2 linked regions of the Arabidopsis thaliana genome follow. The protein of the gene in region 2 purifies or fractionates together with the protein of the main gene of each other region. This does not show direct contact. Each region holds a gene or a part of one and is shown on either strand. Other genes may lie near its edges.

Evidence for each region.
Region 1: the proteins of AT5G13520 (region 2) and GME fractionate together in Arabidopsis thaliana (co-fractionation; one large-scale study listed by BioGRID). This does not show direct contact.

What each region holds. Positions count from the first base shown.
Region 1 is NC_003076.8:10,860,674-10,867,528, forward strand, and holds GME (GDP-D-mannose 3',5'-epimerase), read right to left. Parts: upstream 4,274-6,855; 5' UTR 4,053-4,273; intron 3,372-4,052; exon of another isoform or gene 3,353-3,371; 5' UTR 3,352-3,352; coding exon 2,942-3,351; intron 2,856-2,941; coding exon 2,759-2,855; intron 2,682-2,758; coding exon 2,552-2,681; intron 2,466-2,551; coding exon 2,333-2,465; intron 2,255-2,332; coding exon 2,047-2,254; intron 1,955-2,046; coding exon 1,799-1,954; 3' UTR 1,343-1,798; downstream 1-1,342. UniProt on the Arabidopsis thaliana protein: Catalyzes a reversible epimerization of GDP-D-mannose that precedes the committed step in the biosynthesis of vitamin C (L-ascorbate), resulting in the hydrolysis of the highly energetic glycosyl-pyrophosphoryl linkage.
Region 2 is NC_003076.8:4,340,686-4,347,315, forward strand, and holds AT5G13520 (peptidase M1 family protein), read right to left. Parts: upstream 4,108-6,630; 5' UTR 3,887-4,107; coding exon 2,891-3,886; intron 2,767-2,890; coding exon 2,533-2,766; intron 2,449-2,532; coding exon 2,122-2,448; intron 1,726-2,121; coding exon 1,432-1,725; 3' UTR 1,272-1,431; downstream 1-1,271. Other genes in the region: AT5G13500 (Hyp O-arabinosyltransferase-like protein), read left to right, coding at 80-142; EMB3136 (Ribosomal protein L10 family protein), read left to right, coding at 609-1,271; KEG (protein kinases;ubiquitin-protein ligase), read left to right, coding at 4,933-5,675, 6,502-6,630. UniProt on the Arabidopsis thaliana protein: Aminopeptidase that preferentially cleaves di- and tripeptides. Also has low epoxide hydrolase activity (in vitro).

The sequences.
Region 1 (6,855 bases), 6.5 Mb from region 2:
TATTTGATAGCGCCACAAAGCGTTTCTCATTAATTCTGCCAATTGCTGTAGAAAAAATCATGTGTTTTAGTTAGTTCAAAATTTTAGGTAAAACATATTGAATTAAATCTTCTTCTTTCAACAAATTAATGTTTTCAGGATATTAGAAGAGAAATTAGGCTGTGAAAGAATAAAAGACAAATGACTTAGAGATATTATTTCCTTTCATTTTTGGTGGGTTGTTGAATTCATTTTTTTTTGTTTTAAAGAATATTGAGAGATTAATTTAATATATGTTTTCCATTGTTTGTGCGGCTTGCCAAAATGAGAAAGTTAGGTCCGTTGGTGTGATTCAACATAAACTGATTAGGTAGTGGATGCACAATAAGTGCTCGGGCAAGTGTGGGCTAACCTATGAGGAAAGAAATATGGTTATCGTCAATGTCGCAAAATCTTGTCCAAAAGAGAGATGTCTGAGAGTGTTGTGGAAGGATGTAGATTTAGAGAATATATTCTTCTTATTGATCATAAACATGTGTACAAAGTATATATAGAGAGGAGATTGTCGAGATAAACCTAACCGACTATACATGTTAATATACAAACTCACAAAGCCCATATAATCTAACTTAGCCCAATAAAGGAGAGTAAAGTGAGGTGTTGGTGGAAACTAATTCATCTCTAAAAATCTGGAGAAATCGGACAAAGATGATGAACTTGATGATCAATATAGTTTAGGCTTTTAGGGAAGTGTGAAGATGAACTTGATGATCAAATTTTAGTTAACCCAAGTTAAATTTGGGTTGAGTTAAATGCTTCATTTGCTTTTGCATATGATATAAAAGGTGATTTGGGCTCATTTGAGAAGCGACACGAAGAAGAGTGAGAGCAAGAGCAAAACCACAACAAAAAATTGGGTGATTGTTGAGTTGATGATTTGAAATATATCGATTGTCTTATTTTAGATGCATAAATGAATATTTGTAGTATGATGCTAACGTCAAAGATTTTTGAAAAAACACTGATAACATATATATTCAAAGAAGCTAACAATTGAGCCGAAAGTTGCTTAATTGTTTTGAGATTTTACTATGCTTTTCCTTTTGATTTAGTGGTTTTTTTCTTAGTTTTGGATTAAGTTTAAGCTTTATTTCCTTTGATATTATTTAAAATAATAAAAAAACATTATATGTTATGTTATAATAATATCGTCCTTATCTCATATTTGTTTTTTGATAAAATGTATATTCAAAATTTAAAATAGTAAATACGTTATTTTTCGGATCATCTCGAGTCTAAGACCAAATCTTAGAACATGGATAAAAATCTCAAATTTTAGATATTTTGCTGATCGGGAGAGTTGCATAAAAAAAGCAATATATAAACTTAAAACCTTATGATTTATTACGTGTGACATTTTTGACCGAGGAATGGGATAAAGAAGTGGATGGAAGAGAAAGAATGGTGAGTCACCGTGAGTGATCCCTAACCTCTAGAGATGTGTGAATAGATGATAAGATGCAAGAAAAAACACAAGCCACTTACTTGTACTGGTCCGTGAGAGGACCACGACATCAACTTGACTATGATGATAAACATACATACTGTGAATGAAAGGACCACAATAATATGATAACAGACTTAACAATGCAAGCAAACTTTTTCAACTAAACATAAACAAGGATTAGCAGAATAGAAGGAACCAAAATCCAAAACACTTATTATTGCTTTTTTAATAGGAAGCTACCTAAAAATATATCTAAACATTTTGCTGAACTTAAAAGGCCATATTTGAGCTTGACTTATACTTTGGTGAACTTCACTCTTTTCCATCAGCCGCGCGGAGTGAGCCTAGCTGAACCGGTGCTTGAGTTCCAACCACCTTTGATGACCCGTAAAGCGACACATCGCTTCCCTTTGCTTTCTCTTTCTCGATCTGTTCCTTTATCCAGAAGTAGGTTATTCTAAGCCCCTCCTGTTTAACGATTATGGTCAAAACAATATCAGTAATAAAAGAATTAGATTATTATCTTGTCTTTGAGCTACTTAAGTAAATAATGTTGGTACCTTCAATCTCATATTAGGAGCCCAACCAAGCTTTTCTTTGATCAGATTGTTGTCTGAGTTACGACCACGAACACCTTCCGGGCCAGGAATGTGGTGAATTGGAAGCTTCTTTTCCTCAAAGCTGAGAACCATCTCAGCCATCTCATTCATGCTCACCATCTCATCGCTTCCGATGTTCACCGGCTCACGGAAATCTGATTTTGTCAACCTATAAAACAAAAATGACGAAAATATCAGCCAATTACGTCTAACATACAACTTCATCAACATCAGGAGATACCCTCACCTGAGTACACCTTCAACACACTCATCGATAAAGGTAAAAGAACGGGTCTGAAGCCCATCTCCCCACATCTCAAACCTATCAGTGGAAGTCTGAGCCTTCCTACAGAAAGCAGCTGGAGCCTTCTCCCTTCCACCTAAGTTGATCCAAGCAAATATTAATCCCAATAGTAAACAACTAATCATTCACACAAAGTACGGAAACTGTTTATCTGTATACTACCTTTCCATGTTCCAAAAGGACCATAAATGTTATGGAACCTTCCAATTCGACACTCAATACCAAAATCTTTGTTGTAATGCTTACACAACTCCTCCGTAGCAAGCTTCTCCAAACCATAAGCATCTTGAGGCTATATCAGCATCAAAACATCACATAAGAAAAGACTCATAAATCTTTAGCAAGAACATATAAAAAATAATCACAAACCTCTGCAGGCCAAGCATCTGACTCCTTCAAGCTCACATTAGTAGTCTCCAACTGCTTAAACTCTGGATAGATACAAGCACTCGAAGCATAAAAGAACCTAAAGCAAACAAAAAATCCAATCTTTTTAACTTGTTTTAAGAAACCGTAAACTGCGAAAACCGAAGAAAACAAAATCTAACTAACCTCTTAATCCCATTGATCCTAGCAGCCTCAATCATATTGAAACTAATCATAGTATTATTATACATAATCACAGAGTGATTACTCTGGATAAAACCCATACCACCCATATCAGCAGCTAAGTTAAAAACATGATCAACTCCTTCAGTAACTTTGAGACAATTCTCCATAACCCTAAGATCAACAAGATGGAACTCATCACAGAACATGTCTTCAGTCATGTGTTCATTCTTTTTCCAGTCAGAAGCAATCACGTAATGACCTTCGTGCTTCAAACGACGAGCAATGTGAGATGCAATGAAACCTCCAGCTCCTGTTATTGATATCTTGAGATTCTCAGATGGCCAATATTGCTCTCTTTCTAGCTCCTTGTATGTGTATGCTCCATAGTCTGTTCCATTGGTAGTTCCCATTCTACATTAACAAAACAAATCTGTTAAAAACAATAAGATCTCTCATGCAAAAGCTAGACATCACTGTAGAGTCCTAATTTGTGATAAATTTCTATAAAAAAGATTTGGGATTTAGAGAGTTTTGACAGAGGTAAGATTATTGATGCATTGGATTCCGGCGTAAGTTAGCGAAAAACACAAAACTGCGAGGCGTAAGTTAGCCAAAAACACACAAAATTGCAAAACAAATCTGTTAAACACAATAAGATCTCTCATGCAAAAGCTAGAAATCACTGTAGAATCCTAATTTGTGATTAATTTCTGTAAAAAGATTTGGGATTTAGAGAGTTTTGACAGAGAATGCATTGGATTCGGTGTAAGTTAGTGAAAACACACAAAATTGCGACGCTTAAGTTAGCCAAAAACACACAAAATTGCAAAGAAATATGTTAAACACAATAAGATCTCTCATGCGAAAGCTAGAAATCACTGTGGAATCCTAATTTGTGATAAATTTCTGTAAAAAGATTTGGGATTTAGAGAGTTTTGACAGAGGATGCATTGGATTCGGCGTAAGTTAGCGAAAAACACAAAATTGCGAGGCGTAAATTAGCCAAAAACACAGAATTGCGAAATTCGGATCTCAGAGAAGTTTTGATTCAGGAATCTGGGATTTTAAAACCCTAGATTAGTGGAATTGTAAGGAAGATTGGATCTTTTACCTGAGGAAGGTTTTGGAGAGTTGGAGAGATCGAAGAGATAATGCAGAGAAGAGTCAGAGATTTGAGGAAGAGGAAGAGTAAACTTGTATTTATAGAGAGAGAACAGAAGAAGATGAAGAGGAAGATGGAGAGAGCAACACCACTCGTTGTTTTAGTTTTCCAACTCCTATTGGTATTTGTGCCTCTTTCTGTTAAATTTATTTTATAACTAATAAAATCCTTCGAAAAAAAAAATTAATACTTCTTTTGTAGAGAGTTTTTTAGAAAATAGGAGATTTTATAGAAGATTTATTACTTTTTATTAGGTTTGATGATTTATATTATGCATATTATTTTTACTATTTGTTGAATCGTATTTAGATAGATAATAAGAAATGTTTTAGTTTAGAAAAAAAAAAAAACTAAATATTTTCTTTATTGGTGCACCAAACAATTTCATAATTTTTTTATTTTCTAGCTTCAATATATAAAAATATTTGTAAATAATAAATATATGTATATTCTATATATTAATTGAGAAGTTTTTTTAATAAAATATTTATATTGGCGTGTTATTAACGAAACCGTCATGTTGTGATTCTAATCCATTTAAATAATTGTCCAAATTTTACTAGATTATTACAGATTTTTCAATTAGTCTTATTCATACATATATATAATACACATTAAAAGGAAATTCTTATAAAATTCAAATAATTAAGCAATTAATCTTTAAATAATTATTATTTTGAGAAAAATTACTTTAATTTTTGTTATTTTCTAATTAACTAAAACACTATTTAACATATTTTGTATTTGCAAATAATAGTACATCTTCATATATTAAGAAATGTGTTGTAATAAATTTTTATTAAATATATAATTATTTTGTTATTTTAGTGATATATACTGTATTGAATAATTATAATGTACACATAAAAATATAAAATATTATTTATGTTTGTTTATGACATAAGAGCAACCATAAGTCCATTTTTGGAGTTTGAAACTGAAGAGTAAATTAGAAAAAAAAATCTTAAATTAAAATATAATATAAGTTAGATTGATGTTAAAAATTATTTATATAGTTATAGTATATATATAACCTAAACTATATTAGTTGGTTGAAATATTTGAAATAATAATGATTTTAGTAGTATTTTAAAGTTCATAACAATCAAACGGTCGAACCGAGATCAAACTGATTCGAGTTAATGGTCAGGTAGATTTTTATTAAACTTGTAAACTATCAAACCGTATATAAAACCATTAAAATGATTAAATACGTTTGCGAGAAATATAAATATTTAGAGATAGGCGTAATTCTCATTCAATTTTATCATGTTCCATTATATCTTACTCGTTCTCCAATTTATTTCTCATAAGAGAATGCATTTCTAATATGAGAAAAAATTTGTATTCCGATTAGAAACAGAACGTGATGGAAGCAAAAATTCTCTATATCCTGTTTGGGACAAACACAAATATAATTCATGTATATTTTTATATGATATGATATAATAAAAATATTACAAAATTAATTGACTTCTTTCTTCTTATTGTTTAATATTTTGTTCATAAATATTAAATTACATTTGTTTATTTTTAAATTTTAACTATTATAAAGCATACTATAATAACATTTATTATTTTGAGCATTTTTATGCTGTATAAATTGAAAACACATGTTACATATTTGATTGCAAACGTTAATTTGCTTAAATTGTAACTTGTTGTAATCTAAAAGCTATGTTTTTATCCCGTGTTGGCTCCTTCTATGTCGTTCCTTTTTCGTCATTCCTATTCTCGTTATATTACATTAAATATCATGTTCCGAGTTCATTTTTACTTATCTTTAAACACAATACCAGATACAGCTGTAACTTTTGGGGATTAACATATGCTTTGTTAAAATTTGTAAACATACCATAAATTAAAACATGAAAACAAATTGAAAAAATAAATGATCTATCAACTATAATATGTCATACTCATACATTTGTTCTTGTGTACGTGCACATATATGAAAACAAAATTATATTTACTATTTAATATAAATAAATAAACACCGACTTGATATATTATCTCAAATCCAGAAATCCTCTTGTTGATATAATATATAATTAATCAAATATATATATTTGAATTTATTTGATAAACTTTCTTAACTTCAAGAAACAAATCTTAACAATATCATAAAACTAAGAGATAGTTTAATGTGAATAAATTTAGAGAATTAGTTTGAACTAATTGCAAAAACTGTGTAAATTTAAAAATAGCTTGTAATTAGTTAAATTAGTCATCTTGATCTAAATTCAATAGTTCCTTAAATTTGCATTAAAATTACAACATTGGTATTTAAATTTATTTTAATGTTATTTCAAAAAGAAAATAATCAATTCTAGAAGAATGTGTATTCCAAAATCTTGTAACAATTTGATACAAAATAAAATAATTTATTTGATTTGAAATTGAATAATTTATCTGGCTCTAAATAAAACAATCAGATATATTAATTATTATAATTCTTTTTAAAAAATATATTAAAAATTTGGGTTAATTATATATTTAAAATAATGAAACTACCCGTTTTTAAAAACAAAAAAATATATTCTAAAACTTTATATCATTGAAACTCTAATTAAATGTTAAAATATTTTAATATACCCTGGAAATATTTTCTAGATATTTAGAATCCAAAAAATAAGTTTTTGAATAAGCTGTATTTTAAATGATAGAAGTATTTCGTTTAGATTATATACGACAAATATAATAAATGTTTTTTCATATCTGAAAAATCATAATTGAAAAATCTTTTTTGTCA
Region 2 (6,630 bases):
CTTGTGGTCAATCAAGTGTGAGAGTGAGAACCGTAATATTGAATGACTGTCCTTAATAACATATTGTGTGATGGTGCAGGTGACACTTGTGAAGATGGTGAATGAAGCTACTGCGACTATCCCTAATTGGGACACTCTCTAACTCACATCCACACACAAAACACAAACCATAGGGACAAATCCATACAGCAACAATATTTTGCCTAATTTTTTTTTCCTTCTCCCTTTACTTCCCTTCTTGTCTGTTTTTTCTTGTAATGGTTAAATTATGAACTTGAGTAGTAAATTACAAAATTATTTGTTTGACACGAGACGAGACATCTTCCATAATTCCGAGAAAGAAAATAGAATTATTTTGGGTCTAGTTATTTGATTAGTTTACCAATGGATTGCGTTCAGAATTCAGAAGCAGAGACTAAAAGACACAATGCGTTAAATTAGACGGAGTTACTAATTCCGTCTATTAACCCTTTTTTTATCCATAAATTTTATTTTCCATTTAAGAAAAATAAAAAAATAAAATTGCTTAGTGGAGGATTGTGTTGTTGTTCATCTATCTTCTTCCTCCACACAGCTAGAAACAGTCTCCTCATCTTCTGAGCAAAAAAATGGAAGTGGCTCTTCTCTCCTTCTCTTCTTCCTTGTCTCCTCTCTGTCACCAGCGAATCTCAACTCTCACACCCAAAACCTCGAATTCCCCAAATTACCCTCGCCTCCCGGTCATCAGATCCGCGGTGTCTCGTAACAAGAAGGAAGAGACTGTCGAAGCCGTCAAGTCTCACTTGGAGAACTGCCATCTCCTCGCCGCCATCAACTACAAAGGCCTCACCGTCAAGCAGTTTCAAGACCTCCGGAGAACTCTCCCCGACACTACAAAGCTCATCGTCGCCAAGAACACTTTGGTCTTCAAAGCCATTGAAGGCACCAAATGGGAAGCTCTCAAGCCTTGTATGAAAGGCATGAACGCTTGGCTTTTCGTCCAGACCGATGAAATCCCTTCTGCTATCAAACCCTACCGGAGCTTCCAGAAGGAACGCAAGCTTGAAAACAATGACTTTGCCGGCGCTGTCTTCGAAGGTAAGTTCTACGCTCCTGACAATTTCAAAGTCCTCGAGACCATGCCCACTCGTGCTGAGGTCTACGCTAAGATGCTCGGTGCTCTGCAATCTCCGGCTATTAATCTCGTCACTACTTTACAAGCACCAGCAAGAGAGGTTATAATGGTGCTTATGGCTTACATTAAGAAGTTGGAAGATGAGAGTAATGCATAGTTAAGCTTGTACTAATCTTTTGGAGAATGTAATGTACGCAACAAAAGGCAATTCAATTTTTTGTTTATGACTCTCTCAAGCACCAATTGTTATTACAGTGACTGAGTTTTATTGAAATGTTGTTTTTCGGAGTGCTCTCAAGCTATCATAACGGTCTTGTTTAGATGTACTTAGAGAGGATAGATTCAACAACTCCCTGAGCTATGGGGTGATAAGTTTCTCGAGCTTCTGCAAACACCTGTTTTGCCAGCTGCTTCTCTTCTGTTCCACCAGATTGTGCAAGAGCAGTGAAGAGTGGACGCAGGTACTTCATCCTTCCTACCTCTTTTAGTGTTTTCTTCACTTCCCCATGGTACTCTCTGCACTTGGATGTGACTGCAAGTTGCAGAAACGAGACCTTCACTTCATAGTCTTTCGATTCTGCCAGTCTGTACCGCTTGTCCAAGGCCATGACCTGATTCATCAATGAGCAAAGTGGGTGTTAGCCATAGGTTTGAACCTGATCACCAATCCTTCCTTTGTTGACTAGCATTGTCATTAACAAACAAGATAAGATCCTAACTCTTGCAAAGCCAATACACTTTCCACAATCATGAACTCTCCCAAAGCCAAGAGGGTTTTTCCACAATCATTATTCACTAGCCCCACATTAATCCAAGAGTAACTATTGAGCTAACCTAACTGACAGTTAGTTAGGCCTTTTTCTCCTCCTTATGTAAGCTTATTGAGTAGTTCAACCTAAGTCAAGCCATTTCCCATTATCTTAGAGGAAGAAATAAAGATTCACTCAGCAAGTACAGCTCCAAGTACAGCTCCCATTAACTTAGAGGAAGAAAGGAGTAAAGAGTACCTGAGAAGGTTCACATGATTTAGGAAGATTCTCCAAGTACAGCTCCCATTCCTGTCCGTTCCACTCAGCAACATCATCCTCACTTGGCATCTTTCCTTCCTTAAACTCTTTCGCCAGGGATATGATCTTTGTGTAAATGGTTGAGACTGGTTCATATGCATCCTCTGGTATACCAACGCCCTCAGTCCACAGCTGTAGATTGATCTCTTTCTCTATGCCAGGGATGTTTGCTTTCAGGAATTCAAGAAATGTGTTTGTATCGATTGACTTGAACTTGAAAGTAGCAATGTATTTCTTGAGGAATTCGTCAAAAGCAGTTCTTCCAATCTGAAAGTTTTCCAGTAAATAGATGACCATTATTGTAAACATTACATAACAAAACACCTAAGCGAAGAGGGCAATTCAACTAACCTGGCGTTCAATTCGCAACACAAATTGGAATCCTTTTTCATATGGGACCTGAGAATATACATCATCTGGATCAACACCTTCTTGTTTGTTCCACAGTTTAGTGCACTCCAAGTTGTCCTTAAACCGTTCCATTTCATCAGTTAAACCCCTCCAACCAATGCCAATGTTCAAAGTAGCTATATCCGCCCCTTGAACAACCTCCACAATTCTCCTCTCTGCGTAAGTTGTAAATCCCTATTGCCATGAACATGAAATAAACACTTTCCCATCAACAAGGCAAACTCTAAAAACGGACACACAGTTACACATCCTAATTTGTAGCTAAAAGAAGCAAAAGCACAAGACAATTCAAAGCTACCTCATTCAACCAGAAGTGTTCATTGTTGATATTAGTGATCAAATTCCCAGTCCAGCTATGTGCGAGCTCGTGAGCTACAACTTGAGCTCCAGTGGCGTCTCCTTTGATAACAGTAGGCGTCAGGAAAACCATTCTTGGATTCTCCATACCTCCATAAGGAAAACTCGGAGGCAGCACCAGTAAGTCAAATCTCTCCCACTCGTAATCTCCAAACAGCTTCTCCCCTTGCTTGATCATATCCTCCGTTCCTGCAAACTCCAGAGCAGCCGCATCTAGAACTTCAATGGCGGCAGATTCTGTGTATACCCGAGTCCTAGGTCCAACTTCCCGAAACCCTAACTCACCAACGGCAAAAGCAAATAGATAAGGCGGTATAGGCTGTTCCATAGCAAACTCTTCCACAACTCTATCCTCACCACACCACAGTGACGACCCCAGCGACCCAGCCTCGAGATGTTTAGCCTCCTCAGGAACCGCAAGCCTACGACGGACGTGGCGAGCCGACATGACGGCAGAGAGCGAATTCGGTATGTTCATAACGACGTCGTAACGGATCCTCGCGGCAGGAGTGTCCTGGCATGGGAAAATGGATCTGGCGTGAATCGCTTGACACTGCGTGTAGACATAAGGATGCAATTTGGAGAAAGTTTGAAGCGGCGAAAGCCACTGGAGAGCGGAAGCAGAAGGCGAAGTGGAGTAGACAATTAGCAGTGAAGATTGACCGGAGAGGACTACGACAACTTCGGTGCCCCGAATTCGATCCGGTGTGGTGGAGACGGAGTAAGGGATAGGCTCGAGAGTGAGAGGATCGAGGACCATAGCAATGGAAATGCAGCGAGTATCAAGAGAGAGTTCGCCGGAGAAGGCGGAGGAGAGAGTGAGGAGAGCGGAGCCATGGATTATGGAGGTGTTGAAATCGAGGTAGAGGGAGAGAGCGACATGCGTGGTGAGAGGATGAGAGGAATCGGTGAAAGAGTGTGGATCAATGGGTGCCATTGCTGAGTGAGAGAAGCTTGCTTAGGGTTTTGAGGAAAGGGGCAGTTAGAGAGGTGGAGAAGAGAGTATAAAGCGGGAGAAAAAGAAAAAATGAAGAATTGTTGTTCGATGGTACCATTTTATGATGATAAATAATGTATTTTTGGAATAATTTGGTTAATGGAGAATCATTTAGTGCATAAAGTTGAAACCGTTAGATATTAAACGGCGACTAAATACAATGTTAAACCCAAGTTGGATGAACCAAAAGCACACCAAGCCACCAACAATCCTGAGATTTTTAACAACCATCTTTTTGGGCTTGAGCCTCTATTGAGCTTCAAGTTTTAGGTCCATGAGTTATACACTCACACGAGTAATCTACTTAGCAACAAACAACGAGTTTACATTTTGGTATTGGTGTCAGATTTATCGTCTCATTATTTGGTGAACTCTATTACAAGATCAAACAATCTATTTGTTTTTGCATTTGGCTCAAAAGCTACTTGGTAAAAACTTCGCCAAAAAAAAAAACTCTCAGTAAAAATTACAATTATTTTTTCCTGATGGTTTAAGTTGTTGATGACAACAAATATAAAATCTGATGGTTGACGATTACTACTATTAGGAGAGTCAATAAACGGGTTCGAGCACAAGTGCTGACGGCACCCACCCGTCAAAACCGACGAAACCAGAGAGCCCTCGAGACTCAACCCCAAATAAAATTGGAAAAAAATGAAAATAAAAATAAAAATGATGATATAAAACCCTGAAGAAGAACCTTTTTCACATTTTTCTTACAATTTTTATTCTTGCTTGCTCGTGTCTGATTTTTCCCAGCCAATTTTGATCTACCTTTCAAAAATTCCACCTTTTTCTTTCTTCTCCATGGATCTGTTCTTCTCTCCTTGATCTGGATCGACTTTACTGAGTTTCCTTCCCCCCCCCCCCCCCCCAGATATGTTCTGAGGAACTCTCTCTACTGAATTGATTGGTCTTTCACTCCCTTCTTACTCTTTGATCTCGCGACCTAAATTAATTTAGGGCTTTCTCTTTTCGGAGCTCTCATGGTTGGGAGAGTCAAGGTCCCTTGTTGTTCCGTGTGCCACACGCGGTATAATGAAGATGAGAGAGTTCCTTTATTGCTTCAATGCGGCCATGGCTTCTGCAAAGATTGTCTTTCCAAGATGTTCTCTACTTCTTCCGACACAACCCTCACTTGTCCCCGGTGTCGCCACGTGTCTGTTGTTGGGAACTCTGTTCAGGGTCTCAGGAAGAACTACGCTATGCTTGCTCTCATTCACGCCGCATCCGGCGGCGCTAACTTCGATTGCGATTACACGGATGATGAGGATGACGACGATGAAGAAGATGGTAGTGATGAAGATGGAGCTCGTGCCGCTCGTGGATTTCATGCCTCAAGCTCGATTAATAGCTTGTGTGGTCCAGTGATCGAGGTCGGAGCTCACCCGGAGATGAAGCTGGTGAGGCAGATTGGGGAAGAGAGTAGTAGTGGTGGTTTTGGAGGTGTGGAGATGTGGGATGCAACTGTTGCAGGCGGTGGTGGACGGTGTAAGCACCGTGTGGCGGTGAAAAAGATGACTTTGACGGAGGACATGGATGTTGAGTGGATGCAGGGACAGCTTGAGAGCTTGCGGAGAGCATCCATGTGGTGTAGGAATGTTTGTACTTTCCATGGGGTTGTGAAGATGGATGGATCTCTTTGTCTTTTGATGGACAGGTGCTTTGGGTCTGTTCAGTCTGAGATGCAACGCAATGAAGGCAGACTTACTTTGGAGCAGATTCTAAGGTTCCTCTTTTGCTTCTCTTATTCTTTTTTTTTGCCTAGTATCTGGCTTTTACTGTGATCGTTTCTGTGCTTAAAGTCTCAAACTTTGATAGCCTGTTCCCTAATTAGAAATTACTGGACTAGACCCGACTTGGTTTTTTGTGATTGCTATTAGAAATATATATTGTAAGTGCACAGTTTTTCAGATTCTAGTGAAACAAGCAACTAAAACCTGGTGTCATTTGCCAAAAGGGCAACTTGTAAGATAACTTTAGTTTAGATGTTCTTAAAAAGCTAGGCACGAATTATAGTAGTTGTCATCTCTCTTTGTCATTACCAGCTGCAGCTACTTTTCATCTGTCAATGCCTCAATAGACAAACATTTTTTGGACTAGTCCTTTCCTTTTTAGTAGTGGATCCTTGAACCTACGTTTGCAAGATATCTTTGAGAAAGCCCTTTACATTAGTATGCTTCCTTCTAAAGTATATGACCAGAAATCATTTTTCAACGAACTGACATATCAAATCATGCAAAAAATTGTACGAATTGTTATACATTAATTTATCAAAGGACGCATCATCTAAAGATGATCCTTATTTTGTTGTCCTGGTTCTAATATTACCTTCAATTCACTTGTTTGTATTTCCTCCTATTTTCTGTTTTTAACTGAATTGCGTCATTTGGGACTATTAAATGTAAGCACTAATGCGTAAATGAGTGTTTTGTATTCTCCTTTCATATCGTGCTCATGTTGTTTTAAGTTTACAACTTAGAATATTCCTTCAGTGACCAACATATGTATTATTCCATTGCTCTTGTTGTGATATTAAATTTTACCAACTGTAGATATGGGGCTGATGTTGCTCGAGGGGTTGCAGAACTCCATGCAGCAGGTGTTATCTGTATGAATATAAAACCTTCCAATCTTCTTTTGGATGCAAGCGGCAATGCTGTGGTTTCTGATTATGGGCTCGC